Linked DNA regions of Caenorhabditis elegans. The protein of the gene in region 1 interacts with the protein of each later gene in a pairwise test. Each region holds a gene or a part of one and is shown in the gene's direction. Other genes may lie near its edges.

Region 1 (7,517 bases):
AAGAAAGCGTAATTCGAAAAATTAAATTTCTATATTTGTAACATTTTCTTCCTGAATTTGAATATGATTCTCAAAAAAGCCCCTTGTTGATTGCCAATTTTAATTTAATTTTTTTCTTCGAATAAACTATTTTAAATTTAAAAAAAAGTGAGTTTGCACATTTTTTGGAACCAGCTTTTGCTGAAAAAAAATGTGTCCCACGATTTTGAACGTCGCTCACTGTATCAATTTTCGAAATTCTTTTCTCTCTACATGAAACAATACTACGTCCATTTCAAGCTCTCAAAATCTAACAGCACAGTTTCAAATTCAAAAACACGAAATGATTGAGAAATAGAGATGCTCTTTTCAGATGGATTACTTTAATTCAATCTCTGCAGCTTTACTTAAACAACGCAGGTAGGAGGCAGATACTGTCGATCAGAGCGGAGCATTGAGCTTCACGTAGCCTGGCTGTCAAATTGTTTCAGTTGTCCATCCATGCACCATGTCTCCTCCGCCGTCGACACAGTAGGGTTTCCAGTCACTTCCAGCTACTTGTTCCAATCCACATCCTGACGTTAATTTCCAATCGATTCAGTTGTACTTCCTGAAATAAACACCAATATGACATTATTTGTAAATGTATTGAGGCAAGCCATCTACAAGCTTATGAGTTTAACAACAAACTTACAAAATAGCTCCCACTTTGGAGTTGTCTTCTTTTTCCTCTGTCTCCTCTATTTATCCTTTGAACGTTTCGTCTTGAGTAGTTTGTCCGGGGGGTTTTTGTGACATATGCCAGTATGAGTATCTGAAAAAAAAGGTTCATACTCTCAATACTCAAAAAGCTGTAAACTTTATGTTTTATAACATTTTAAAACATCAGATTTACACCTCTGACCCGCACTCACTTTAATATTCCGTTTGGTTGAAGTGAACTGGTTTCCAATTCACACACGACTGTAGGTAAATCGGCTCCATCGTCCGAGGTCCACTCGGAGGTTCCTTGCATACTCATATCTTCGTTCACAGCATCGGAATTGTTGAATTGGCATCATCTTCCCATCCTTCTTGGCAGACCATTTGTTGAAAAGTTGAAGACTGAACACTATGACTAAAACTACTTGCTCATATACCAGTCCTTATCAAGATGTACGTGGTCGTTCAAATAAAAATATTTTTTTAAATTGTTTTCCGTATACCGTATATCCTCTATTAGTAAGACGTGCAAAACTAATTTTCGGACACCTAATTTGATGCAAAACTAATAGAGGGTGCAAAACTAATTTTCAAACAGGTTTTTTCTCATGTTTCCCATTAAGTTATAGCAAATATCATCAATTTCAGTAACACCTTATGAACCAAAATGGACTAATTAATTCCACTAAATTCTTGTATTGAATATAAAACTTGTGAATCTCATTGCCTTTTGAAAATTTGATTTGAAACTTGTTAATTTTTTAATCTAAATATTCCTGATTCTGTCATAAATGGTCGTGTTATTTCGTTCTCTAGACCCCTGTGACATCAATTATTTGAAAATCTAGTTTTGACTATAGTTTTTAATTGCAAAACGACTTTCGAAGCGAAATTTAACAAATTTCATTTTACCCCCAAGGTATACGGTAGACAAGTACGCAAACACCAACAACAATATTGCACACATTACACAGAAGTTGCCGACAGTTTGCTAAATCAATGGGATTTTTTTACAGCAGTTTTTCCTTTCTTCACGATAAATCGTTCTGAAAAAGTAATTAAAATTGTTATTTTAGTGTAAAATTTAAAAATTAAATTATTGTTTTCAAAATGCGCGATTTTAAATATTGCAATCTTCATTACGTAGGATTTTTCCGCACTTGAATTCTCCAAATGTTCTCGAAATTTATTGAAAAGCTTTAGAAGCCATGAAGTTTCTGGAAAGCTCCGAAATGGATGTTTTTTCGCAGACACTCGTTACGGGAGCAATCGATTGTGTTATTGATTTCAAGTGAGTCATTTATCTCAATATTAAGAATAAAACAAATCGTTCAATTTCAGATTAGAAACGTATTCGTCGAAAATGGTTACTAGCGAAAAGAAACAATGGAAATCGAACGATAAATCTGTGATATGGGGTGAACGCCAGCCTCTAGGATCTTACGAGGAAATGGTGATGAGTGCATCGCCCAGTGTTGGTCACAATCATCGGCTTCGCCATTTATCGGAACGCTCGTGCTCAGGAGGATCAGACAACGATTTCGACGTGAATGACTACCTGATAAAAGACTCAATTTCGCGAAAGAAATTGTATGATCTGACTCAAGTTCTGAACTGTTCGTTTCCGGATCACGATTTCAGTAATGCCAACAGTGAAGCGTTTGCTCTCGTCAATTATTCGGTTAGTAGCTTCTTACAGCTAAATAACATTAACGCGCATGATTTTTCAGGACCTGAGCCGTCTCGTTGATATGAAGCTTGAGACAATTGTCAGAGACTATCACGTGAGAAGAGAAGAGCTATGGGGAATTATTGATGAGGCAATTGTGCCCGGTGACTGTCAAATATACAGGTATTCCGTTTGATTTGAGAGGATATTTTATATAATTTCCATATTTTTCAGCTTCAAGTCCCAATTCGAAGACGATCCGTTTACCGAAGACGGTTGCATTTGGGCACTTGCCTTCATTTTCTACAACAAAGGACTCAAACGTTTTGTTCTTCTCACAATTCGTTGCCTATCGAAACAAGCCGACACGTCCATCGAAATTTTCCCCGATTTCAGTGAAGACGAGGCGGAACCACAAGAGAAATAGAGTGCAGATTATTCATGTAGAACGCTTAGAATAGACTAATATTCAAGGCGATATAGTATTAGTCTTGCCGGCCAAGCCTCTTTCCCTCTTGTAGTTCTTCTCTTGTAAATAGATTCCATTTCTCATCAATCCTCAACCTCCTCCTTCACCTCTCGAGTTCGCATTTAATTTGCCACTTCCCACACACCTACCGCTAGATTAAAGGAACAAATACTTCGATTCTCATTCCTTTTCGTGGCTCGTAGATATCAATTTTCACAAAAACCGCATCATAAATACATAAAATTGTTTTTTTTAAGTTAATCAAAATCGATTATTTTTTGGTTTCAACCGTTCTGATATTTTAATCAATTTTTCCTCAAATTTATTTGGTTAAGTTCAGTTTAATTTATTTTCAGTGAAATAATGCCGAGCACATCAATGATCGAAGATCGTTCTGAGATCGAACGTCGGCGATTCGAATATCTCGATCATCCGGCAGATATTCAACTTCACTCTTGGGGATCCACAATGGAAGAAGCCTTCGAAGCATGCCTCGTATCAATGTTCGGCTATATGACGGATTTGGCCAAGGTTGATGAGGTAATTTGAAATTGAATTAGATCGCCTCTTGCGCCTTTTAAGAATTTTTCCACTTTCCTCTGTTTTGTCTAATTTTTCTTACTTCACTTGAAATATGCTTATGAACATATGAAATTGCAATTTAAATCGATATCTTGTAGAAATTTTAGCTTTTGTTCGTGTATTCTCTAGTTTTGAAGCTGCTCCCAGAAAAAAGCTCAATTTTTGCCTTCTTGACTTCATTTTCGAACAAAACCCACAATTTCTACAAGAAACTGATTAAAATAAAATTTTAATTTTGCATTATTTCAGATGTACGAATTCTACTGGAAAGCTTCTGGCGATAGCTTAGATGGTCTCCTATTTCAGTTTCTAGACGAAGCGCTCAACTCATTCCACGCTGAACCATGCTTTGTCGCGAAACGGGTTGAAATATTGCGATTTGATAAGAAAAAGTTTGAGGTATTTGATAAAAAGTTTCTGAAAATTAATCTAAATTCTATTCAGATCGAATTCCGAGGATGGGGAGAATCATTTGATACTTCAAAGCATGAAACAGAGGCTGATATCAAGTCTCCAACTTATTCAAACATGCAAATCAACGAGAAGCCGGAGAGATGCGATATCTATGTCATTGTTGACATTTGATTTTTATTTTACAACTTCTTTTTCACCTTTTCTCGCTTAATTCCTTTGTGATTTGCTTCCGATTATCGTGTCTTTTCCCTTCTGGTTGCTCATAAAATTTGTTAATTTTGCAGGTAAAAAATGGGCATTGACGTCAAGAAGAAGGTGCTCAAGCGAAAGCTGAAACAGATGAAGGATGGACATGAGAAGAAAAAGGCTAAGGAGGTTGTAGTTGAAGAACCAATGGAGGAAGAAGATGAGGAGGAAGTGGAAGAGGAGCAAAAGCATCAAACGGAGGAGTCAAGTGAAACCAAAGTGTCTGAGTTCTTGACGAAGACTACATTTGCATCGCTTGAAGGAAAAGTTAACGCGAATTTGCTGAAAGCCGTACAAGGATTGGGATTCACTACAATGACAGAAATTCAGGCAAAGAGTATTGATCCGTTGTTGGAGGTAGACTTTATAACTTTTTTCTTTTTTTAATAAGTTTCAATTTCTCAGGGAAAAGACGTATTGGCATCAGCAAAAACTGGTTCTGGAAAGACGCTTGCCTTCCTGCTCCCTGCTATCGAACTTCTTCACAAACTCAACTGGAAACAACACAATGGAACTGGTGTCATCATTGTGTCTCCAACTCGTGAATTGTCGATGCAAACTTATGGAGTTTTGTCCGAACTTCTTGAAGGATCCAATTTGACGTATGGATTAGTGATGGGTGGTTCGAATAGAAGTGCAGAGAAGGATAAGCTTGCGAAGGGAGTTTCGATTTTGGTGGCCACTCCTGGACGACTTTTGGATCATCTTCAGAATACTGACAACTTTTTAGTCCGCAACATGAAGTGTTTGATTATTGATGAAGCTGATAGAATTTTGGATATCGGATTCGAGATAGAAATGCAACAAGTTCTCCGTCATCTTCCAAAACAACGGCAGTCAATGCTCTTCTCGGCAACTCACTCTCCAAAAGTTGATGAGCTCGTGAAATTGGCTCTTCACTCGAATCCAGTTCGCGTTTCTGTACACGAAAAGGCCGAAGAGGCAACAGTTGAAGGATTACAGCAGGGTTATATTGTTGCTCCATCTGATAAGCGTCTACTTCTTTTGTTCACATTCTTGAAGAAGAACAAGACGAAAAAAGTGATGGTATTCTTCTCATCGTGCAATTCAGTCAAATTCCATCATGAGCTTCTCAACTACATTGACATTCCGTGCATGTCTATTCATGTAAGGATTTTAAACGATTATTTTATGAACACTTTTATCAAAGATCGCAAAATGAATCTTTTGAGACGGCTTCACATATCCTTAAAATTGTTAATGGCGGTTCGAAATTTCAAAAATAAAGCCTATTTTAGCTAAAATCTGAAATTCCGACAACTTGACAAAGTCACAACTCGCGGAAATGTTTTTTATTTAATTGTCACAGTTTAGTGCATAATTTGGTAATTTATTGCACGTTGTTTCGTTCATTGGAGTAATTTTTAGTCGATGGGGGCAAACAAAGACCGGAAATGAACGAAAAACGAGTAATATACTATCAAAGTTGGCAATAAAGGGTGATAATTGAATAAAAACAGGTGCTGTGGAGAAATTGAGATTTTTGCTTAAAATGATTTTTTTAAACAGAAATTTTGAACCGCTATAAAAAGTTTAATGGAGATTTGAAGACGTCTAATAGAGAAATATCTTAAATTTCCCTCAACTAGTAATATAATTAATTTTTGCAGGGAAAACAAAAGCAACAGAAAAGAACAACGACATTCTTCCAATTCTGTCAAGCTGAAACAGGCATCCTTTTGTGTACAGACGTGGCAGCTCGTGGACTCGACATTCCAGCAGTTGATTGGATTGTACAATATGATCCAACTGATGAGCCAAGAGAATATATTCATCGTGTCGGACGTACAGCACGTGGAACAAATGGAAGTGGAAAGGCTCTTCTCGTTTTGAGACCTGAAGAACTTGGATTCTTGCGTTATTTGAAGGCCGCTAAAGTCACGTTGAACGAATTCGAATTCTCATGGAGCAAGGTATGCACTTTCAATAGGCGACGTGTTCTTTGAATCAAAAGTTTTTTTTTAATAAAAAACCGGTAAATGATCCTTTGATAAGAAGGTCACACACCCAAGTGCAAGTGAAATAAGATCCAAAGATTAAAACTTTAGGTATACAGGAAGTGAATGAAATCATTAAAAAGCAGAATTCAAAGATGAATGATCAATAAAAAATTTATTTCCGGAAGTGAATTTGCAAAATTTGAAAATAACACTTGAACTTCTCAATTTTCAGGTTGCAAACATTCAATCCCAACTCGAGAATCTCATCAGCAAAAACTACTACCTGAACAAATCAGCGAAGGAGGCATACAAGTGCTACTTGAGAGCGTATGATTCTCATTCATTGAAGGTAATTCACAAAGTGCAAATGATGACATATGAGACTAATTGTCATGGAGTTTCAAGATGTCCGGCTACGAAATACTTGAAAGTATACACACTTCCTACGTAAAATCCCTTTTTTTGCAGGACATCTTCGATGTGACCAACATGGACTTGACTGCAGTGTCGAAATCATTCGGATTCTCTGTTCCACCGTTTGTTGATCTTCCGATCAGCAATAAGCCAAAGGTATAACTGAAGGAAGTGGAAAGAAAACAAAGAATTACCAATAGGAAATTTTACAAAATGCAAATTGTTTTTTGATTGATCGAAAAGTTTGGAACTTGTACAAAAAATGCCAGAAATTTTTCAGTTTTGGAAAATAAATTTTTGTAGCGGTTTTTCAAATATATTTCTGATCAATCCAATATTTTACACTAACTTTCAATAAAAAAATATTGGAACGGCCTGCAGAATTTCCTAGCCTCATTTTTCTTACAAATCCTTATTCCAGGTTGAGATCCGTTCAAAACTATCCGGAGCTGGCTACCGCAAGAAGAAGCAGTCATTCACATTCAAGGCGAAGAAGTGATGTGTGTTCCGCCTCCAATTATTGTTATATCATTGTTTTCTTTTTCTTTTACTGTTGTCTTTTATTGTTATTCCTACAACCACTTCTCCATCCAACTTTATGTCCCAACAATTATTTGTTCTTTTTCTTGCTGTTATTCCCTCATAAACTGTTTCAGAACCGTGTGTGCTTTTCGTTTCGCTTCAGTAGAAGATGCAGCAATAGGGAAAAAAGCGAAAGCTTCTCGGTCTCGTTTTCACCTTTCCCCTACACCAACACAAAAAAGTGGAGAGACAAGATATCAGAAATGTGAAGAAGGAGGCGAATGAGATATCATCTAAAATGTCATATGTATATATGAATATATATGTAAAGTTGTTGCGCAACTGTCATTTCAACAACGACTTCTTCTTCTTTTTCAGATGTCACTGGCCTTCCTGTTCCCTCTCTTTTCATGATTTCATGTCATTTGTGGTGACCCCGCCCACATCTCCTCCCACTCCTTCCACTTTTTTGCAATTAGGACGCCTACGGGAACTCACGCTGTATAAAAACAGTTGAATTCGAAAAAAATTACCTGAAAATTTGAAATCTCCGCCCTCT
Region 2 (7,732 bases), on another chromosome or scaffold:
GCTAAAATAATCTTATATATTTTCAGTGAAACCCAACTAATGTTCAACAAAGAAATGCTTGGAATCCCTAAAAAGTTGGCCAAACACATATCAAAATCCCGTCAATTTTTCGATTTGAAAAGCCGCGAATCGGAAATCAGAAGATGTGTTCAACAAGCGGCAGCTCAATTTGAACGACAAAAAACTTCAGTTGAAATGGCAAGAGAACAAGTGCAAATACTGCATAATTCATTGAATAACAATCAAGAATTGGATGCAGAGAAACAATATGTTGATGTGATTGAGCAACAGTTGGAATTGGTTAAAGAAGCTGAGGGAGAATGTTTAAAAGCTGAAAAGTGTCATGCATCACGTGTCAGGGATTTGTTACAGTTGGAAATGGCTTTAAGGAAATGTTTAGAGGAAAATGGGTGAGTTTCAGGCATCAGGCAATTTTCTGACAATATATTTTCCGAATTTCAGATCTGCCATCAAAAAATCCCGGCCCTATTACGAACGAAAAGAAGTTCTGACGCGAACAATGAATTCTCAACTTGAGTTAATGTCAATTTTGGAGCATGAAGTAAGAACTAATAAGAATAAAACTGTATATAGATTAAAATAATTTTTAATTTCCAGGTACAAGAACGAAAAGACAGCTACAGTGATTCGATGCGAGCTTTAGAGCAGATCAGCGATCAAATTCATCAGGAGCGTTCCTCGCAAAGCAGTTTGGCTCCTTCGAGTGATGCAGAATCCGACAGCTCTTGATACTCTGAGCCACACCCTTTCTTCTCAATTTTCCACGTGTAATATTAGATTTTTCACGAAGTTTCGAAATCTCGATCTCACTTGTACTCACGTTCCACACCCAATCAACTTCACCAAAAATGTATTTTTACGGGTTTCAATCCCCTTTCTCTTTGCTCCTCATTTTCTCTATGTATCTCTTTATTTTGTGTTCGTCTGGTGCTTAATAACAATTTTCTTGAAACATTAAAAATTGTGATAATGAGAAGACGATGAAGTGCCCACAAAAGCATCTACGTGTGCACACGCTGCACTTCTTGTCGGAGCACTGGATTTATCAAGCAATCGTGAAGCCAATGTGCATAGCTCACAAAGAGTGGATGCCCTTGTCGCTGGTGGCAATCTGAGGGTGAAATAGATTGTTGAAAAATTGTAATTTTTTGAAATTTTGAGACGTTAAAAAAAATCGAAATTTCGTTGACTTGCAACTTGCGCGTCATATATAGTGTCAAGTACGCATACACCGCGACGGTAGAATGCACAAAATTGTCAATTTCAAAATTTTCATGATTTTTCTTTTATTTAACAATTCAATTTCTCACCTGCTAACCGAAGCGGGTCTTCTTTCTTCTGGAATAATTGGAATTTCTTCATCAGAATCCCATTTAAAATACTGAAAATTGTTCACACGCCGGCCAAGCTTTGGAATGCTCTAAAAATATTTGTGTCATATTATTGTTTCACTTAATTGAAGAGATTACAGGCATTTCTATATCATTCCGATTATTGCTCAATTCCCTAATAACCAACAATTCATGAGTTTCTCTACGAATTTCTTCATCTCTCTTCCTCTGTTCCTTCGCTTTTTCCTCTTCTTCAATACGACGTTTTACCTCTTTCTTCGCCTCTTCCCGCTTCTCATTTCTTCTAATCAGTTCTTCAATTTCACTTGATTGTTGTGGTTTAGGTGGCTTGAGTGGTTCTGGGAGAATTTTCAGGCACCTATGACAATATTTCTCAGACTCTAAACCTACTTGGCTTCCTTAAATGCGGACGTAGATCATCCTCGGACAGAGTTACAGAAAATCGACGATCTGACGCCATAATTTGATGTAAAGTAAAAATGGAGAAGCTTTTTTGTCTGGTTTGCTGGTTTCCAATGGAAACTCTCCGTACATTTTTCAATAAAACGTGGATCTAAAGCTACTAGGCAACCACCAAAATATTGTAGAATTTGAATTTCCGCCATAATTGGTTGGTCTCATCACGATATTCATCCAAATTTATGGCCCAAAACCTAAAGATAGTTTTCCAGTATTTCAATAGGCTTCGTTCCCGTCAAAAATAAGTTTTTCGAGAAAATACAAAATATTTTGTTGCGAAACTATAGTTAGGAGGTTATATTCTTTACCGTTTTTCCGCCAGACACTAAATCTTTATCAGTCGGACAATATTCATCAGACCTGTAAATTTTCTCTGTGTCTCCGTCATTTCTTTCAAAACGCGCGCCAAAATTTGAATTCGAACAATTGGCGCGAAACCTCTATTGCGCCCGCTGATTTCGTTCATTCACTCATTTCATTTCTCATTCGCTTCGTCTTGTGTGCACTGGAAGTGCACTCATTTGTCTTTTTCTTGTTAAATCTTTTCAATCACCATTTTTAATTAAATAACTTTAGGTTTTTGAAATTGAATAGCTGCTTTCCGGCTTTTCAACACATTTATAGATTCTTTTTCAATATATAAATTGAATGTTTTTCCAACAAAAAAAAATCGTTCGGTCACTCCATTGGTCACTTTTTTATCAGTAAGCCTCGCAAAAACAATATATTTTTGATAAGGAATTCATTCAAAATTCAGTGCAAGAGCCCTATTCTAATTTCTCACCCATTTATTTGCATCATCTGCTCCCATCATTGACCATGCCTACGTCACAATTGACCTCCTGCCGGCATACGATTTTCCGTGCAAAACTGAACACAGGACCGTCTGTGACGTCAGCATTTCCCGCCCTTCACCCATAGTTCACCATGACGTCAAAAGCTCCGCCTTCGTTAAAACCTTTGGTGCTGGTCATTCCTTGTCTCAGTCTGTCACAGTCGCCGGTCCTAGGTGGTGACTTGTGTGACCTGAATAGTGTTCAGCTGGCCATTTTTAATGTTTCCTCTTCTCTATCAATTGTTTTCTTCATTTGCACACTATTTTCATTTTATTTTAAACTTTTCAGGATCGCAAGCACTATCCGCGTATATCTACTAAAATGACCCTCACCGAGATTCAGAATGTCGAGAAGGAGAACGCAGGAGCATCAGTGGTAAGTATTTAGTGTAAAGTCCGCGAAGAGGCGCGAAATCTGGTGCTTTTGCACAAAATGTGCACAATTCTACGACTTTTCCAGTATACTCATTACGTATGCCTTCGAATTTACAGCCGAAACACTCATCGAACAAGCTGAAGTTGGAGAAAGAACTGGAGAAATTGGAGATTGTCGATCAGACCAAGGCTGCTTCAGCTGAGGAAACAAATAATGAGTCGGAGGTGAATGAGCTGGATGCCGACGAGCCGATGCTTCAAGATTTGGATAATCGATTCGTCATCTTCCCACTGAAACATCATGACATCTGGAACTTCTACAAAAAGGCAGTTGCATCATTCTGGACAGTCGAAGAAGTCGATCTTGGAAAGGATATGAACGATTGGGAGAAGATGAATGGTGACGAGCAATACTTCATTTCTCGGATCCTTGCCTTCTTTGCCGCATCGGACGGAATTGTCAATGAGAACTTGGTATGTTTTATTTGATATCTCAATAATGATTCAAATTAACGATTAAATTTTCAGTGCGAACGATTCTCGAACGAAGTTCAAGTCTCAGAAGCACGGTTTTTCTACGGATTCCAGATTGCCATTGAGAACATTCATTCAGAGATGTACTCGAAGCTGATTGAGACTTATATTCGTGATGAGACGGAACGAAACACTCTTTTCAACGCCGTTGATGAGTTCGAGTTCATCAAGAAGAAGGCTGACTGGGCTCTTCGCTGGATTTCGGACAAGAAGGCTTCGTTCGCTGAAAGACTCATTGCTTTCGCAGCTGTTGAGGGAATCTTCTTCAGTGGATCATTCGCTTCGATCTTCTGGCTGAAGAAGCGTGGATTGATGCCAGGATTGACACATTCCAATGAGCTCATCTCGAGGTAATTATTATTATTACGAGATTTAAATAATTTTAATGTAATTTGATAATTTTTGCAGAGACGAAGGACTTCATCGTGATTTCGCCTGTCTTCTCTACTCAAAGCTTCAAAAGAAACTCACTCAACAACGCATCTACGATATCATCAAGGACGCTGTGGCCATCGAACAAGAATTCCTGACTGAGGCACTTCCAGTTGACATGATTGGCATGAACTGTCGTCTTATGTCACAGTACATCGAGTTTGTCGCCGATCATTTGCTCGTCGAGCTCGGTTGTGACAAGCTTTACAAGTCGAAGAATCCATTCGACTTCATGGAGAATATCTCGATCGACGGAAAGACTAACTTCTTCGAGAAGCGGGTTTCCGAGTATCAACGTCCTGGAGTGATGGTGAATGAAGCCGAGAGACAGTTCGATCTTGAGGCTGACTTCTAAAGAAAATATTTCCAAATTTCTATTTCTAACCTCATGTTTTCCTTCCTTTCATGTTTTTCAACCTCACCCCATTTCTCACATTCACTTTGTTTCTGTTACGATCTCGTGTAATTGATCGAAAGCACTTGTACCAATTTCTATGAATCGCTTATCTTGACTGAAAAGATGTTTGAAACTTTTTATCATTAAAAATGAAAAATTGTGATTTCACTTCATTCATAATTCATTCAGAGTTCAAATATTCAATGTCGTCTTGTATCCATCCTCCCAATCATACGGTTCGAGCAGTGATTTCGGGCTGTATAAACATTTCAGACATTCCAGCAGTTTTTCATACGGTAGTTCAACAACGGGGTCACATTCCAAAATCATCTTATGAAAGTCGACTAGGATGCTCGCAATGTCCTTGAACATCTCTCCATTCTTGGTAACCTCGTTCTGAAATCGGAAAATTTTGTGATTTATGACACAAGAATACGGTACCGGGTCTTGAAACGACCGAAAAATTTGTTAACGATGATTGTGGAAGGATGCATGCGCCTTTAAAGAGTACAGTAGTTTAATTTTTAATTCAAAAATCATTTTCTTTTTGGAAAAGTGAATAAAAATGCGACAATTGAAAAAAAGTGTACTGTATTCCTTGAAGGCGTACACTCTTATTTGCAGCTACCGTAAGAAACAATTTTCATGAAGACTTTTGAAATAAAAATTGTACGATTTGCACCACATACCATCAACTTTTTGACCCCATGAATCTCATGAATATCCTCCAAATATCTCCACGGGAGCTCTCCAACGACTAGCTCATATGCCGTATACAAGACTGAGAATGCATCATCCCATGGTGTCTGCTCCAGCTTCTCGTGTACACGAACCGATACATAACGTTCTGTTCCTTTGAATCCGGCATTTATTCTCCATGGAATGCATACACCGGATTCGGTTTTGAAGCGTCGGACGAGTCCGAAATCAAGAAGATAGAGGATGTGACGATTCTGAAATTACTTTTCTGGATGTGGTTAAACGCATTGCGTCGGTGTTTTTTATCCTGGCGCTAAATTTTTGCAAGCAGGCCGCACGCTTTTGTGAAAAAGTATGACAACTGAACTGTTTTTTCGCTGATTTTTTTTGTATGTAACGTTCTGAAGAGACAAACCAATTTGAGCCGGCTCTGCCACAGCCTTAAGCTTTTCCATGAAGCAAATAACAAATCTTCTCAGTTCGGTGCAAATCCATTAATAATCACAACCTCTAGATATTATACGCGGCTTCTAAGGCCTCGACAGGTGCACTACAGCTGGTGCAACGGCGTACCAACTCTTAATTAGGAGGATTAGGAGGCGGGGTGTAGGTATAGAAATAGGTATAGTGCCTGTTTACAGCTGAAGCCTCTCATTTTCTATCGAATTGTCTCTCTAGGGCGGCTGCTGGCAAAAATAAGGTGAGTTTCTGGTATAATCTTTTCAAAATTTTCCCTCTGTTAAACTCTAAATTCTATTAATTTTTCGAACTGAAAAGTTCGAAGAGCAAATAAGAAAAGTTTGAGGGAAAAATTAGGAATTGAACTTTCATTCGAACTCTAGATATAGACTAAAAGCAAACTACTGTGCAGGCACACCAAGGCCTGCCTGCCTGCAAGGCGATCTACGCCGGTCTCATGCCTATCTGTGCACTGTAAAAGTACAGACAGGCACTGATGTCGCGTTGAAGGCACCTAACTCACCTGAGCATGTACACCAAAACAAATATTTGCTGGTTTAACATCTCTATGAACATATCCCATATCATGAATATCTTTCAATGCATTCAATGTCTGATAAGCAATTCTTCCAACTGTCTCTTTACTCAATCTTCCCAATGGACTTCGTTTCCGAAAGTCTCCAACATTCATACTAAGCAACTGCATTATAATAAAATTGAATTGATCATTGAATCCAGATGCATACATTGTTGGAATATGAGTTTTCCCTTGCATTTTCATCAAAACTTGTTGCTCCATTATCATCCGCTTCGTAATCACTTCTGCTCGTAGTTTTGGTTCTATTTTCATTGCTCTTTCATCATTCTTTTTAACATCCATCACCATAAATATCTGTCCATAACCTCCATTTCCAATCACACCTTCTATGGACCAACGATTCATGAAAATTGATCCAGGAGCCACGTGGAGCTTTTTGATGCGTCTTTCTGCCAACTCTTTTGCGGAAAACTTTTTTGGAAGGATGTCCAGATTCGGGAAAATTTGAGTAATGTCGGTTTCAGCCTGGAAACATGTTTTGTTATTGCCTGCCTACGTGCCTGCCTACCGCCTATTTTCGAGGCAGTCGTAGGTCACCTTCATGACTGAAACAGGTACCGAGCGTTAACTTACTTCTTTTGATTTATTCATTGTTAGTGAAATTTTTCGAATTTCGGAGATTCGGCCGGCAATCGGAATCGATACTTTTAAAAATGATTACATTTGGTTTTAAAAAAACTCAGAAAAAAAACCCTCGCGTGAATAAACAAATTTGAGTTTTTCGCCACTTTAACTTCACTTTAAATTTAAAAAAAATTAAATCTGAAAACTTCTGTAGTCTGTGACGTCACACCTCCTCGTGGTACGGTAGGAGTACGGTACTACTGTAGTTAAATTTTCCAAATATTATGGCGTGGATGGTAGACACATGCCTCATGTCTGCCTTTCTGTATGCATAAAAATGGACTTTGACATTTGACACGAGGCATACATAGGTTGCCTTGAAGGTAGGCAGGATATTTTGTACCTACATGGAAGGCTTACTGTAATAGTATTAAACGTTCTTGTCAAAAATAACAAAAATTGCTTTAAAGGTTGTCACCCATTTGGAAACTGAATAGTACTTTCTTACTGTAGTGCCAAGAGCACGGTAGTTATTTATGCGAAAATGTTCTAGAATCAGCTACTCAAAGTTAATTCAATAATTTCAGAAATAAACATGTCTGGAAACCAAAACGGCGAAAACGTTCAACAGAAAAAAGAGAAAATGTGTTCGGTTCGTTTCTTTTTCTGTGTGAAACTAAATGTCTTATTTTGAAAAATTCATATTTTTCAGATCGGAGAAACCATTTACACATGGACCCAGAACAAGCACGCCACCACTTATGTCGGAACATACACTAAAGCTTTCTTCTCAGGCGAAGTTTGTCGCGAAATCAGAGAGCATGACGAGTTTCTCGGGATGAGTTTTTCTAGCTTTTTTTAAAATTTAATTGAAATTTGGGTACCAACAAATGTAACTTTTGAGATGAACAATAGCTTGGTGAAAAATTTTATTGGATTTGTATCAAGTTGTAGCTCGTTAGACCATGCATATCTCCTTCTCAAAAACTATCTCCGCAAGTTAAATC
Region 3 (7,279 bases), on another chromosome or scaffold:
GCAGTTTGTTGATTCATAATTTTTTATTATAAGTTTCTAAATTTCTCATTTAAACTAAAAACTTAAGCGCGTCCTACAAATTTTTCTATAAACTAGGGCTCCCATGCGGTCGCCGCGACGGCCTCACGGCGTCACCCACGCCGCATTTATAGTGAGGCGCGGACCTCCGAACGTGTCGACCGCTTGCAAACAACCACCTCTTCGCACTATGTTGCACACACACCAAGCTACTCATTTCACGCAATTTGTTGGCTTTTTGATATTTGCCAACAAATCTTTTATATGTAGTACAACGGTACCTCAATTATGAGAGGAGTCCAGTCAACAGAAATATCATAACTTGGTTCCATGGAAAAACTGCGGAAAACTAACATTTGCAAATTTGATGAGTTCACTTCCTCGTGAAAAAAACAATAGGACTTTTAGAGTGCATTCAGTAAATTGTTCTAAAGGAGCGGATGAAAAAAAAAACTGTCTTACATTCAATAAAGTACAAGTAAAACCCTTTTTAATCTAACGAATGCGAAAAGAATTATCGCACTACTTTTCTTCCATATTTGGATGATCATAGAATGAATTTCATTGTCTCATTGAAATTTAGTTAAAGTATTTTCTTTACATAATTATCCAAATTTGAACTTTTTTTTTGTTTCACATTCTGTAACAAATTTGACTTTAAACTTTATCAACCAAAAACTCGTAAAACATTTAAATAAACAGAATCATTAAAATCCTGTCAATGGTCTTGGTCCGGGAAGTTCAACGCATGTGACTTTTCGGATTGCTACTTCTCTGTCGTTGAATGATTTTCCAACAAAACTGAAATTTAGACTTTGAATATAAAAACAACAAGTTGACTTAATACGGCTCACTTTTTGTCGTCGCATTTCGCAACGTAGTCGAAATTATATCCCGATGCAAGGAGAATAGTGTCTTGAATGACGAATTCTGTCTCAAACTTGAAAGATGCGTCTGTTCCTTCCTTTTTTGCTACAAGGGCATATGGTTTTCCACTGTTTGGACAGGCGATAATGTTGTAGGTCTTCCCCTTACGCTCTACTGTTCTGTAAAAAAACAACTTTTTGAACCATTGGAAAATAATTTATAGTCAAAATGAAACAGAACAAAATTAGCCCGTGATATAATTAATTATACAAACTTTGCGAAAACTTTAGTTTTGCTCTCACATCACGAAACAATTGAACGAAAAAGTAAATGCAATATGTATATTTTTTCTATAACGAGTATTGAGAACGAAATATGTGAATGTTTCTATTTTGTCGGGTTTTATGTTTAAAACGTCTTATTTTCTCTAAAACTTTTTCCAACGTTGATCAGTTAGTTTCATTTTGCAAAAATATTCGAAAAAAAGCTAACTTATGGTATTTTTTGTGATAACTCACTTGATGTCAGCACGAGCGGTTCTGTGCTTATGAACAGAAAAGTGTTTGATTTCCTTGCATTGTTCATACTCATTTTGTTCATATACATTGTTTGGTGGTCTATACTCGTTTCCATTGGTACCGTAGTTCGTTGCAGGTGGTTGTGGCGCATATACACCTGGATATTCTGGGTAACGCTCATCTGAGTTCGATCTTGATTTTAATTCATTCTCAGAAGAATCCGATGAGTCAGAAGTAGAGTATCGATTGTTTGAATGATGTCCAGGATAGTGAGAAATTGTACCATAATCATTGTATTGGTTCGCAGATACGACGACCGCACATGCGATCACAGATAAAAAGAGAGCATACATAGTGAACAATTTCGCTGAATTGTGCGTCACCTCTACTTGATTTTATAGACGATTTTGTTGAATCGTCGACAAAGTTTAATCTGGAATATGGATCACATCACATCATACGTTTTCTAAACATATGATTCATGCGAAATCTAGACCAAATATAAAACGGTCCTCAACAGAGGAGAGCCATACATCGGTGCTCTGCCAAGATGAAATATTTTGTTTCGCTTGTATTACTTGCTGCTGTGGCTTCTGCAGAATACCAGATTGTGACATACTATTGCAATTTAAAGTATATTTATATTAATGATTACAGAACGAGAAGTCCTACTCAGGTGAAGTTGAAGTTGAAGACTACCCAAGACCAACAAAGAAACCAACGTACTCGGTGCCGGATCTAGGACCACTTCCACCAGCATCATACCCAGTTCCAAATTTCCCTAATAGTTGGCCGCTTCCGCCAGCTTCACGACTAGTTCCAATTCCACAAGAATATCCAGCTCCGTTCCCCCCAGGACCATATCCTGACTCAGAAAATGGGGGATCGTATCCACCACGCAACTATGGTGAGTTCTCAACTGTATTCTCATTTTAAAAGTTTAAACAATCAGAAGTCAAAAAATTGAAAGATCTTCGTGGTGAAAAAATTGTTGAAGCCCGTGTTAGGTGAGCAAATCCAAGTTGCAAGAAGAATTATACATTCAAATTTAGATACTACACATATGATAACACCCATTACGCCGTCATTTCATGCCCCAGAAATCCAACTCCAGGAGCATACACATGGATTTTGGTGGACTCGAAGAAAGAAATTCTACCATTTAATGTTCCTGGAACAGTAGCGTTGACAGGAGGTATCAACGTTGACTACTTAGCCAAATATGGAACTAAAGGCAAATGGGAAGGAAAAGATTTGACCAATGATAAGAAACACAGGTTCCGTCGAGTTGGATGCCTTCACGGAAATACTATGTCGTACATTCAACATTAAACTTTATCAGTTTAAACAATACATTATGAAGAAAAATAAATGTTAATTTGAGCTTTCAAAGAAAACCAATTAGTTTTGAACACAAACGGAAAAGTTAATGAAACGCTAATCGTTTCTCAAATACCCGGCGTTTAATTTTTGAAACTACTTAAAAGTACATTCCTAAGCCAAACAATAAAAGCGCATCTGTTTATACTTATAATGGAGTTGCTTTTCAAAAACAGACAGACTCTTTTCACTAAGATTCTTTTAACTTCAAGGCGCTTATTGATATTATGATCAACTAAAGGAATCAAATAATTTCATCAATTCCGTTCCGTCAGAAAACAAATAAGAAAGTTTCAGGAAATTCACCCAGATTTTTCAATAATATACGGTATTCTCCATGTGTCAATTTTATATTACATTTACAGAAAAATGGAACAATCTCCTAAAAACAATCATTTTTCACATTAAATATAGGGAGCCGGGAGGACAGAGCTATAAATTCTCAAGATGGAAATATTCATTTTCTATATACTATTTTCCACCGTTTCCCCACTCAATTTTCAATTTCTGTTGATATAATCTCCCAGTAAAAAAAACGAAAATTTTCATTTTTGAATTTCTAGCTTCATGAATAATTTATTTCAACAATCTCATTTTCAACAATGGGCTTCATTTTCTGTTTTCAATTATTAGTTGTCATAATGTTTATTTGTTTGCAAATTTGCTTTCAGTTAAACCAACCCTTCCGATTATGAAAGTGTCCCGTTGTAACTAATCTCATCCTTCAAAATAGATGTCTTTCCGGTAGTATCGGTTTTCTACTAACATAAGTTCATAAAAAATACAATTTATTTTGTTTCCTGGGTGTGAGTAATCCCCCGCTGGCTTCAGTAGATGTTGGCAACGGTTTTTCAACAAAACTACCTAGTTGATCAATTGATTGAAAACAAGGAACCGTAAGAATATTTTCAGGCGATCATGAATAATCTTCCTGCACTCCTTGAAAACTCATCAGTCCCTCGGCTTACTCAGGGCCAACAAAAGAGTGATAATAAACCTTCACTGATGGAAGATACACGAATGAGTGTCTCAAAAATAGTTAATAAGAATTCTGATTTCAAAAACAATTTTTCGTACGATAAGAGGGAAGCCAAAAAATGGACAGCGTTGCGAGCAGAGTGTGAATTGACTATTGAGAGAGTAAAGTCTCTTGATCATATTTTATGCAGAGGAAGTTCCAAAACGGACCTTGTTTATGCTCTAAAACGTGAGTTTATAAATGAAGAATATATTTCTGACTGATATTAAAATTGTCAAATCTATTTTGAAACTAATTCGCATTTTTTAGAATCTGCTCAAATCTACACTCGCCGTGAAGAAATGTTTGAAATTGTTGATTCTTCACCACCCAGTATCGACAAACGTCGGACTCTTGCTCTGTTATGTGAAATTCGAAATTTGGATGAAGATAGCATTATAGGAAAAACAATGTCAGCTCTTGATATGGCAAACGGTGGTTATCACAAAACGAAAATCCTCGAAAATATGTTAGAAGAGAAGGAAAAAGAACTAAAGACAAGAGAGACGGATGCTCATGACTTACAGAAGTCATTTCAATTTTCTTTCACTGAAATGGCAGAGACAAGTGCAAACTCTGAGTGTGGAGTAAGTTTTAAAAAGTTTTGAAACTTTAAACTGATTAATTACAGACAAAAGTCACTAAGTGTGCGGTCGCAAATTCATATACAAAACATTAGAAAATGTGCATGTAAACTTACTTCCGTCTTCTTTGAATTTCATGTGGTTTAATTATTTAAAAATTCTGTGATTTTATTTTTGTGAAGAATAACAATTTTTCAATTAATAGCATAATTATATTGCTACATAGACTTCAGAATTAAAGTGAAACGTTATAACTTTAAAACGTTTACATTAATAAAGTTTTAGAGAACCATACGGTACTCTATTTGTCGGTCTTGATGGAACGTGAGATGTGAACGTTGATAATTCTGGAACATATAGATTCAACCGAACCACTAGTCCAAAAAATCTTACGTGTTTGCGTTACTGCTTTTGGTTGGTTTCTTGGAACATACTTATGAAGACCCACTAGTTTAAAAAAACCATAACGAAGCGGTTTGATAAGTATTAAGTATAGGATACAGATAACTGGACATGTGAGTTGAGTTGGAGCTAACACTACCATTGCAAATGGAAAACTGAAAAAAAAATTATGTTGAAATGCAGGCTACATTTTTCTTGTAATACCTTTGTTTCAAGTATTTTTGTTTTCTTTGTAATTATTTTTCTCAAACTATACTTTTAACTTTAATTGACATATATTTTTTTCAGAAGATGAGAACATAGAATACTCCGTGTTTTTCATATTACTTTTGTAGTACTTGGCTTCACCGGAAAGCTTGGAAAATAATTCACAGTTGCTATAGATCCCTAATTTTTAATTGCAACTTTTTAGTTTTAGTCATGCGTGTTGAATCATCTTTTTTTAGTTTATGGTTCATACCCTTCGAAAGGTGTGTATTGCATCAATAATAATGCCATTGCTGTTGCAGCTGGAATTCCAACTAAAACACCAAACTGCAGCAAGTACCAGAGACTAATTGCCAAAGCGTTTTTGAGCTGGATCAGTGTTTGCTTAGAAATCATTTTGTGTATTTTGCTCAATGTTGTATATGATTTGAATGTTATCAATGGGATTATGATAACTACTATTGAAATTCCAATAAATGCTTCGACACTTAATGCCTGAAAATGTGAAAGCTCGCTGAAATTTCAAAGGAAGAACAATACCTTTAAAGACCATTTATCACTGACTCTTACAATTGCAATGGAATATTCATTGAAAAAGTACTTAATTCTGTTATCAGTTTTGTACAAGTTATCTCGATCTTCGTATTGATGTTCATCGACTCCAATAGTCATTAGTACAAAATTTACTATTGTAAATACAACACCAATGCAAACTCCAATCAAATTTGTTTTTGTTGAGCTTTGACGTGATATTCTATAGCAAATCGTGAAGTAGTTAAACCAAAACGAATAGAGGAAACTCATCGAACACAGGATTGCCAAAGTACAACAAATATTAAACAGATGAGCAGTGACGAACGGCCCAAATCGGAAAAATCCCACGGTGAGAAGTAAGTGATATGGGAACACGATGTACGGTTGGTAGACAAAACCCATATAAACACTGAAGACAACCGGAAGCATAAGGTTGCAAACAAGAACTTGCTTGTAATCCCGCTTTAAGGTTTTCCCTTCAACTCTTACTAAATAAAGGGTCAAAGCAGTCAGAAATACGTTAAGAACTGATGTTATTTCCATATATCGCTGGAAAAAAAGTGATTAATATTATTATTGGCCACCAAATTATGAAAAAGGAAAAATCGGGTTCCTTTCCCACAAGAACATCTTTAACTCACCCGCAACCAAACAAAATAACGTTCTTGCACAGAAATGGAAGTATAAAAACCAGGTAGTTGAAAATCGGATGACATGATTGTATAAACCGCAATAGAGACAATCTGGTGTGTTTCGACCAAATTGACTGACCAGCAGGTATTAACTGATAATAACCCGTTTGACAGAACTTTTGTTTTTGATCACTGGAGTTGTGAAAAATGTTCTGAAAACCTTTCATCATTTAAAAATCAAAACCTTTTCCAAGAAAAAACACATGAAAAGATCAGCTGAATCTAAACGTCATTAAGCATGTGGTATTTTAATACAGTCATTTGATTAGACAACATTCTGCGTTTCAGCTGCATGAGCAAAAGTTTGTGTTTTGATGAAAACTCAATTTGATAAACGAATTACACCATATTGCACGTTTTGATCAAATAAGTAAACATAAATAATATGGCTACAGAAATAGACAAAATAATTGTATGTTAAATGTTGCAAAAACAGGTGTACTGTTCGAGTACGCGTGCAAAAGATGAAAAATTCCAACTTTAAAATGATGAAAGGTACTTTCCTTTGTAGTTTATTTTTCTTGCTTACTTATTTCAAATCTTCTCACAAAAAAAATGTTTGAAGGAAGTATAAAATTTTCGAACAGTTAAACAGTTTTTAATTTTTGACCCCATATCAAATTTGCTCATGAATAATTCCGTAAATTTTCTTCTCATTTAAACTAGACTCAATGATGTCAACTAAAAAAAACTTGAAGCAGTGAGTCAAATTTATTCCAATAGACTAAAATATTACATTTATAATGCTGTTTGGTTGTAAGTGAAAAAAATAAACAAAAAGTGTCACGTTTAATTTTGGTCTTGATTCTTAAATTTCATACCAAAGATCGACCCTTCAATTATCGGGGAAAATAAATTATGTACTCAACGTTTTATTTTTACTTTTGAAACTTCATGTTTCAAGCTACATACACAATTTACTTTCTATTTGATAAATGCATATTGAATTCATAACAGTGATGTTTTTTTTCTGTTGGTGATGCTGTTTATACCTTGATACATATAGGTAAACTTAGGCTTTTTGGTATGTGATCATGATTGGACAATAACAGTAGAAAA
Region 4 (7,325 bases), on another chromosome or scaffold:
CTATGACAGAATTTTATTCATTCCCGATTTCCCGATCACTTTTAATTTATATTGAAAAATACATATATTTAAGATTGAATAATAAAGATTTCTATAAAAACTTTTGTGTACAAATAATAATTGGTTCCCAAATCTAAAGATGGAATAGTAAAGATATTATTAAAATATACGTAAATTGGGCGAAAAACATTCTGAATTTTTAAATTTTCAAATGTTTAAAACATGGTTTTGATAAATTTCCAAATTTTCCAAAGTGTTTGAATTTTTGAGCTAAAACTCAAGAATTGCTCCAAACTTAAACCTACAATGTGTAAATACAAATTTCAAAAAAGCTACTTTTTTTGGTCGACTTCCAAAACGTTGGCAGGTACAACTGAGTTTCTACCATATTCAGACTGTGAAATAATTTCAATTTTTGAAAAGTTTTACTATGATATTTGTTCATTTTAGCACGATAGGAGTGGTTTTAAAGTTTTCCCCACCGCGCGGTGCACCGCCAATACTTTACCTTGAGAATTTAATTAAAATGTAAAACTCGTAGAACATACTTGTTGACTTCCAAAACTATAATAGATTAAAACTGTGTGCATACACTTTTTCATGTAAATAAAACACTACCGCCTACCTTTAAAAAAATTTAAATTACAAAGTCTTCAATTTTGACTTCAACAATTTCCAACCTAACCCCTAAATTTTCTCATCGTATTCTTGGTTTGTAATGTGTGACAGACACCCTACCATTATCTGTGTATGAGTCTTTTGGGACACTCTTCTATCCAATGTCATCCGTCCTCTCAAATGCAAAAATAAATGCATTTGTGCTCACGGAGCCAAAGAATCGATGTGTGGTCCCGGACGCCAGAGACGCAGACATTCGAAACGACTAAAGCAGATGCTCAGTGTTAGAGCTCTTCGTCTCTTTCTCACACAACTACTTCATCTTTCTCTTGCTCCATTCAATATGACGTTCTCTTCTTCGTACAAATATTCGGCGCTGGCGCAAAACGATCCAGAGGCACCAGAAGAATTAGAAATGAACAGTCTTGAAGGATATTCTGCAGTCGATTTTGGTGATCCAAGTCAAAGTGTAATGGAATATGGAATGCCTGAAGGTTCATATGATTCCGTTTTTACATATGCTCCTTACAACGATCTCGATAAAATGGGATATATGGGTCCAGCAAGGTAATTTTTCAACAAAAAAACTAATTAACTTTGATATAGATGAAAAATTAAAATTTTCCAATGTTATCTTTCAGTTAAAATGGAATTAAAGTTTTATTAAATATTTTAAGAATTATAATTTAGCGATTAACTTAATTTTCATAAAAGTGTTTTACAACATGCATATGAACAATAAGAATCACTATTCAATAATTTTTCAGGCAAGGAATGATGCTGGGAAATAAATACGGAAACTTCACATACACAAGAGATTATGGTGTTAATATGGAAGACGATGTGAGTTTTTATTTAATAAATTAAATTTTGGTTTTCTTTATCAAAACTTAATGTGAAATTGAGCCATTTAGGAAATTATTTGATAGTAAAACTTTGAATTGGTTTTTTTGAAATATTTTTATTTTCAGTAAATAAAAAAGTTGAAATTACTCGGTTGTTGAAATTCGCCAAAAAATGTTCTACAATTACTATGATTTTTTTCCATCTGAGCATTGTAGGCATTTGAACAAGCAACAGTACTCTAAATTTCTTAAAAAGCATACATTTTTTGCAGATTTTGGCAAAATAGAAACCTTAACAAAAATGGAAATATCTAAACTAATTGAAACACACACGAGACAATTTAATTAAAATATACTTATGATATCTTAAACATGTTTTTTTTCAGATAAAACCCCTGAGCGCCATTGAACTGTTGATCTTCTGTGTTTCATTTTTGTTTGTTGTGATGACAATGCCCTTATCATTGCTTTTCGCGTTAAAGGTAGTAATTATAATTTTCTAGAGAACCGTTTCTCAAAATTTGCTTAATTTTTCAGTTCATCTCTACCAGTGAGAAATTGGTAGTTTTACGCCTGGGAAGAGCTCAGAAGACAAGAGGACCTGGTATAACTTTAGTTATTCCATGTATAGATACAACACATAAAGTAACAATGTCTATTACTGCGTTCAATGTCCCACCACTCCAGGTTAGCCTTGACAATATTTTGTCTAAAAAAAAATTTTAATTTACAGATAATAACCACAGATCGTGGTCTCGTGGAACTCGGGGCAACTGTTTTTCTAAAAATTAGAGATCCAATTGCAGCTGTTTGTGGAGTTCAAGATAGAAATGCATCAGTTCGAACATTGGCAAATACAATGCTATACAGATATATCAGCAAGAAACGGATCTGTGATGTAACCAGCTCACAAGATCGAAGAATAATTTCTGCTAATTTGAAGGATGAGCTGGGATCATTTACGTGTCAATTCGGAGTTGAAATCACTGACGTGGAAATTTCCGATGTGAAAATTGTGAAGGAAGGAGAGAACATGGGGATGTCTGCGTTGAGCAGCGTTGCGAAATCCGATGCTGGTCAACAGTTGTGGCAAGTTATTGGACCAGTATTCGAAGACTTTGCAAAGGAATGTGCAGCTGAAGAGAAAGCAAAAGAAAATGCACCATTAGTTGATTTGTCGGATGTTCCCTCAACTTCAGCTGCGGGAACTTCTACAGATACACCAAATATTCCTTCCATTGATATCGACCATCTTATATCTGTGGCAAGCCTAGCTATGGATGAACACTTAGTCCGTCTAATTGGCAGAGTTTTCCAAATTAATTGCAAAGATATTGAGCCCATTTGCATTGATTTGAAACATGGATCTGGAAGTGCGTATAAAGGAACTTCCTTAAATCCTGACGTGGTTTTTGAAACGAGTTTGGAAGTATTTGGAAAAATTCTAACAAAGGAAGTATCTCCAGTCACTGTATATATGAACGGAAACTTAAAAGTGAAAGGAAGTATTCAGGACGCAATGCAGCTAAAACACTTGGTGGAGCGAATGTCAGATTGGCTTTAAGAAAATATACTCATTTTCTGTTCTCTTTTTTCTCTTTAATAAATGTTTTTTTTTTAATTTAAAGATTTACACTATATTTTCTTGTCTTTCAGATATTATTTTGTACAGGAATGTTTTGTTTTTAAAGTAATATTATCTAAAATACATCCAGTCACTTAAAATTGTACAAAACAGGCTTTTGTGCGACGAATAAGCGGCCAAATCGAGAGATCTCATCGAGAAATAAATGCATTCTTCAAGGGAGGGCGCGTTTTCTGGCTGACGGGTCTCGCCACGATCGACTAATCGAAATTACACGTGTGTGGCTGGCTGGACGACATCCAGCAAATCGACGTTGCTATTGCCGATTTTTACCAAATTTTCTGGATTTTCATCATTATTAATAAATTTTCAAAATATTTAATGTTTGAAATGGATATATTTCTTGTAAAAAAGCTTTAAAATGGCTATAAAGACGAACAAAATAATTGTTTTTTGAATGAACGTGTCACATGCTTTGGAGTGTTATGTATTTTTCTTTTACTATCGTTTTTTTTAAATTCTAACTGGAAATTTGTTTTAAATTATATAATTTCAGGTGTTGAATCAGCTCCATTATGGGTTTAACAATCTCCTCCCTCTTCAATCGCCTTTTTGGCAAGAGACAGGTATGTTTTTGTAATGCTTAATCTCACAGTTTTAATGTGTTAATTTTAAGGTTCGTATATTGATGGTCGGACTCGATGCTGCCGGAAAAACTACGATCCTCTACAAACTCAAGCTTGGAGAGATCGTCACCACGATCCCAACTATCGGTAAGTATTTCAGGAAAATATTTGCATTTTTCGAATCAATGGTTATTGCAAAAGAGTCGCAAGTTCTATAATATGTGTGTTTTTCAGTATTTCATAATTCGTAAAAATTAATAATCTGATATTACAGGATTCAATGTTGAAACTGTTGAATACAAGAACATTTCCTTCACTGTGTGGGATGTCGGAGGTCAGGACAAGATCCGTCCACTCTGGAGGCACTATTTCCAAAACACACAAGGACTTATCTTCGTCGTAAGTATTCGAATCGATTTATAAATCTAAAATATTTTAAAAATTAAGGTTGACTCGAACGACAAGGAGCGTATTGAAGAATCACGTGAAGAGCTACATAAGATGCTGAACGAGGACGAACTTCGTGACGCTACTCTTCTCGTTTTCGCCAACAAGCAGGATCTTCCAAATGCTATGACCGCCGCCGAATTGACCGACAAGCTTGGACTTCACAATCTCCGCTCAAGACAGGTGAGTGGTATTCGAGATTCCGTTCTCTGTTTAGTCTTATCTGCATAGACGATCAAAATTTGAAACCGGACAAGCGTATTAATCTGATCGAATAAAAGATTGTCCACTCACGGAATAAATAAAATTGTTTCCAAATTTATAATGTAAATGAAAAATTTTCAGTGGTACATCCAAGCTACATGTGCAACTCAAGGACATGGACTCTACGAAGGACTTGACTGGCTATCCAACCAGCTTTCCAAGACCTAATTGCACAACTTACATGTCCAAATTCCCTTCTCCTCCAAAATGTGTAAATCCCTTTCCCCCATTAAAATATTCTTAACCAACAGCCACAATAATCCACGCAGCCGTTTTAATTTTGTTAAATAGAATTTGATTGTTTGATGGCACTGGGAGCTTCTATTTTCTGTGTGTTATTGGTACCCATCTCTCTCTCTCTCTCCGTCCCCCCAACTTCAAATCGGCCCGAGCCCTGTCCTAATTTATGTGATATTTGGCCGTCTTTTTTGGTCAAACTCTCCGAAACCACCACTGTGAACTAGTCGGAGAGCAATCGATGGCTGGTCCACTTCATCGCAACAGTTTAATTTATTTGAGGGTGTTGATGAATAATATTTTATAAAAACATGTAAGTGTGGTGGATGTTCATTTTTATTTATCGGAAAGAACGCTAAGTTTAATAAATTTCGAATTCCAAAAAAAGCATGAGAGCGAGATTAAACAGATGGCACAAAATTGCATAAAGTAATTAAAAGCTGAAAATAACTTCAATGTCCACATCCGAATCACCACAATGGCTTGCTCGACAGAATGTGAGCTTTTCTTGCCTTGGCCTGATGAGCTCTATTGCTCAAAGCACCTTGTGGTGTCATGTCAGCATCCACCGGAGCAGCCATTGCATTTCCCTTGCTCTGATGACCACTAACAGCGTGTTGAAGCCAACGGGTATCAGTCATTCCAGTTCCCAATCGACGTGGAGTCATTGGACGACGCCAACCATCTGGTGGAGGTTTTTCTGAAACGTCCAATAGTTTAATTTCAGTGAAGTTAGAATTTTTGTGGTCAAAATACTATTCTACTAAAATTACCGATTCCATTTTCAGCCGACAAAGCTAGGAAGAGCTCCTCGAAAACAACGAAATTGGTATTCTGCCATACAGGCTTGATAAGTCCGTACTTTTGTGACATAAAACCAAGAAGAGTGACTGATGGATTATCAAGAGCCAATTGATAAGGTTCAGTGTGTTCCTGAGAGAACATGTAATCTAGAATTTGTTGTCCAACTCCTTGGCGTTGACATGAGAAGTGAACATAAAAGTCCAGAAGACACAGAATCTGAAAAGTAAGAGGTCGAATGAAATGATAATTCAATTCACCTCTCCCTCATAAGTCTGCATTTGAGAGTCATAAAGGAATAACTTCTTTCTTCCTACTTTCGCGAATCCCATGAGTCGACTAACCTTCTCTTCTCTGAAAAATCAAAATTTCCAATTTCCAAAAAATATTAATACAGCGTTTCGATAAAAGGCGCCTATTATGTATCAAATATTACATTACTAGGTCGATCAATGGATCTAATGGTAGGTAGTATTATTATAAGGATTATTACGTGGACGTCTAAAAATTATAATTTTTATCATATCTTACGCTCATGGGTCTCGCCACGCTGAGAACGAGGGACTGTAATTCGTGTCTATTTATTATGATTGCATTAAAATTTCAAAATGAAAAGTGCTGCCAAGATTTTAAAAAAGAATATGATACAACCAGCCGTGGACCGCACCTTCGGCGCGGCCCCCGACTTCTGGAGCTGAAAACAAATTTTTCTGAAACTACCGTAATCATACAGTACTCCTACCGTACCACTATTGTACCACTACAGTACCCCGACTATATCCTTACACTAACCCCAACTCACCATCCCTCCAGAAGCTAAAACTTCGCAGACTACAAAGACTACATAGACTACAAACTATGGGCAAACGGAATAAGCGATTTATATATAGTAAATGATAGTGGGATTACAGTAGCTCGTTGTCAGCATGGCAGTCCCATGCACGTAAGATAGGGCGAAAATTCGTATTTTTTGACGTCTAGATAATAATAAAATACCCAATATCTCTTCATAATTCTACAGTACTCCATACGATGACCACAGTATCATCGCGACGAGAAAATATATGTCTGACAGTATTCCGTATTATTCATTCGATAATGATTGAGTAATATTGTGAAAAACTGAAGTATATGAATAAGAATATTAACTTACTCATCATATTTCCAAGAGAGATATAAAGTTGAATCGGAGTTGATAAGCTTCTCACAAGTTGTCAAAGGAGTACGAAGCTGAAGGCAATGAGCTGAGAGTTTAGCAAGATTATCGATTGCTTCATAGACAATTGGATCCCTGAAATATTTTTGATGAATTTATTTTTAAAAAATTATATTCGGACCATTTTAAGTGACACTTCATATTTGTTCTGGTAAGATCATCCTTCTAATCTCACAGAACCCCAAAAAGCTCAAATCTAGCTTCTCTTTAAATTCCAATTATCTTCAGATTATAGTTAGTTCAACTCGATTCAGCAAAATTGCCAAAAATAATAATCTAGATTTAGTTGAAAGTTCAATCCCCAACTAAAGAACAATTCAACCTTATCATCACTTTTATCACATCTTCCGCATGTTCAATTGATATATTGATAAGATTGTTAAGAGGGAGGCGTTGGAAAAATAAAACGAAAAATGGAACAGGTTATCTCATGAGTGAGAAATAAAAAGAAGAATCACAAGAATCATTTAGGTTTAAAGTTGTAATGATTTGTGGTGCTATGCAAAAAGATAACCGGGTTGATATTTTATCAGTGTTTCGAATAACAAAACATTCAAATATTCCAGTTTTTTCTTACTGAATTCAAGATGTATATTAACCATGATGAAAGGTGATTACACTATATTTCAGAAATAAAATAGAGAAGGAACTGATGTCTTCAGATCCAACAAATGTGAATAAATAAA

What was found.
Region 2: the proteins of mafr-1 (region 1) and rnr-2 interact in a two-hybrid assay, tested with the Caenorhabditis elegans proteins (one large-scale study listed by BioGRID).
Region 3: the proteins of mafr-1 (region 1) and Y62H9A.2 interact in a two-hybrid assay, tested with the Caenorhabditis elegans proteins (one large-scale study listed by BioGRID).
Region 4: the proteins of mafr-1 (region 1) and arf-5 interact in a two-hybrid assay, tested with the Caenorhabditis elegans proteins (one large-scale study listed by BioGRID).

What each region holds. Positions count from the first base shown.
Region 1 is NC_003279.8:10,621,289-10,628,805, forward strand, and holds mafr-1 (Repressor of RNA polymerase III transcription MAF1), read left to right. Parts: upstream 1-1,884; 5' UTR 1,885-1,889; coding exon 1,890-1,972; intron 1,973-2,022; coding exon 2,023-2,362; intron 2,363-2,411; coding exon 2,412-2,533; intron 2,534-2,584; coding exon 2,585-2,777; 3' UTR 2,778-3,073; downstream 3,074-7,517. Other genes in the region: Laminin subunit alpha lam-3, read left to right, coding at 1-25; arch-1 (Protein archease-like), read left to right, coding at 3,183-3,359, 3,651-3,800, 3,846-3,986; B0511.6 (ATP-dependent RNA helicase), read left to right, coding at 4,107-4,418, 4,467-5,189, 5,693-5,995, 6,255-6,371, 6,491-6,592, 6,858-6,935.
Region 2 is NC_003281.10:4,090,146-4,097,877, reverse strand, and holds rnr-2 (Ribonucleoside-diphosphate reductase small chain), read left to right. Parts: upstream 1-2,956; 5' UTR 2,957-2,989; coding exon 2,990-3,043; intron 3,044-3,159; coding exon 3,160-3,516; intron 3,517-3,570; coding exon 3,571-3,926; intron 3,927-3,984; coding exon 3,985-4,363; 3' UTR 4,364-4,570; downstream 4,571-7,732. Other genes in the region: Guanine nucleotide exchange factor rei-1, read left to right, coding at 27-410, 463-562, 619-750; C03C10.7 (uncharacterized protein), read right to left, coding at 976-1,132, 1,332-1,441, 1,491-1,711, 1,764-1,833; Putative casein kinase I C03C10.2, read right to left, coding at 4,598-4,801, 5,095-5,358, 6,087-6,626, 6,735-6,752; C03C10.5 (uncharacterized protein), read left to right, coding at 7,321-7,377, 7,438-7,567.
Region 3 is NC_003284.9:11,874,619-11,881,897, reverse strand, and holds Y62H9A.2 (uncharacterized protein), read left to right. Parts: upstream 1-3,688; 5' UTR 3,689-3,701; coding exon 3,702-3,990; intron 3,991-4,071; coding exon 4,072-4,388; intron 4,389-4,432; coding exon 4,433-4,480; 3' UTR 4,481-4,587; downstream 4,588-7,279. Other genes in the region: Y62H9A.4 (DUF4362 domain-containing protein), read right to left, coding at 726-819, 873-1,064, 1,404-1,756; Y62H9A.3 (putative secreted effector protein), read left to right, coding at 1,954-2,013, 2,061-2,310, 2,356-2,410, 2,456-2,735; Y62H9A.1 (uncharacterized protein), read right to left, coding at 4,656-4,732, 4,779-4,942, 5,248-5,489, 5,535-6,077, 6,170-6,244.
Region 4 is NC_003282.8:7,978,922-7,986,246, forward strand, and holds arf-5 (ADP-ribosylation factor), read left to right. Parts: upstream 1-3,604; 5' UTR 3,605-3,623; coding exon 3,624-3,674; intron 3,675-3,724; coding exon 3,725-3,821; intron 3,822-3,948; coding exon 3,949-4,073; intron 4,074-4,121; coding exon 4,122-4,304; intron 4,305-4,466; coding exon 4,467-4,553; 3' UTR 4,554-4,931; downstream 4,932-7,325. Other genes in the region: unc-24 (Band 7 domain-containing protein), read left to right, coding at 962-1,185, 1,386-1,461, 1,850-1,945, 2,001-2,150, 2,197-2,361, 2,407-3,027; mec-17 (Alpha-tubulin N-acetyltransferase 1), read right to left, coding at 5,093-5,322, 5,396-5,642, 5,684-5,777, 6,577-6,714.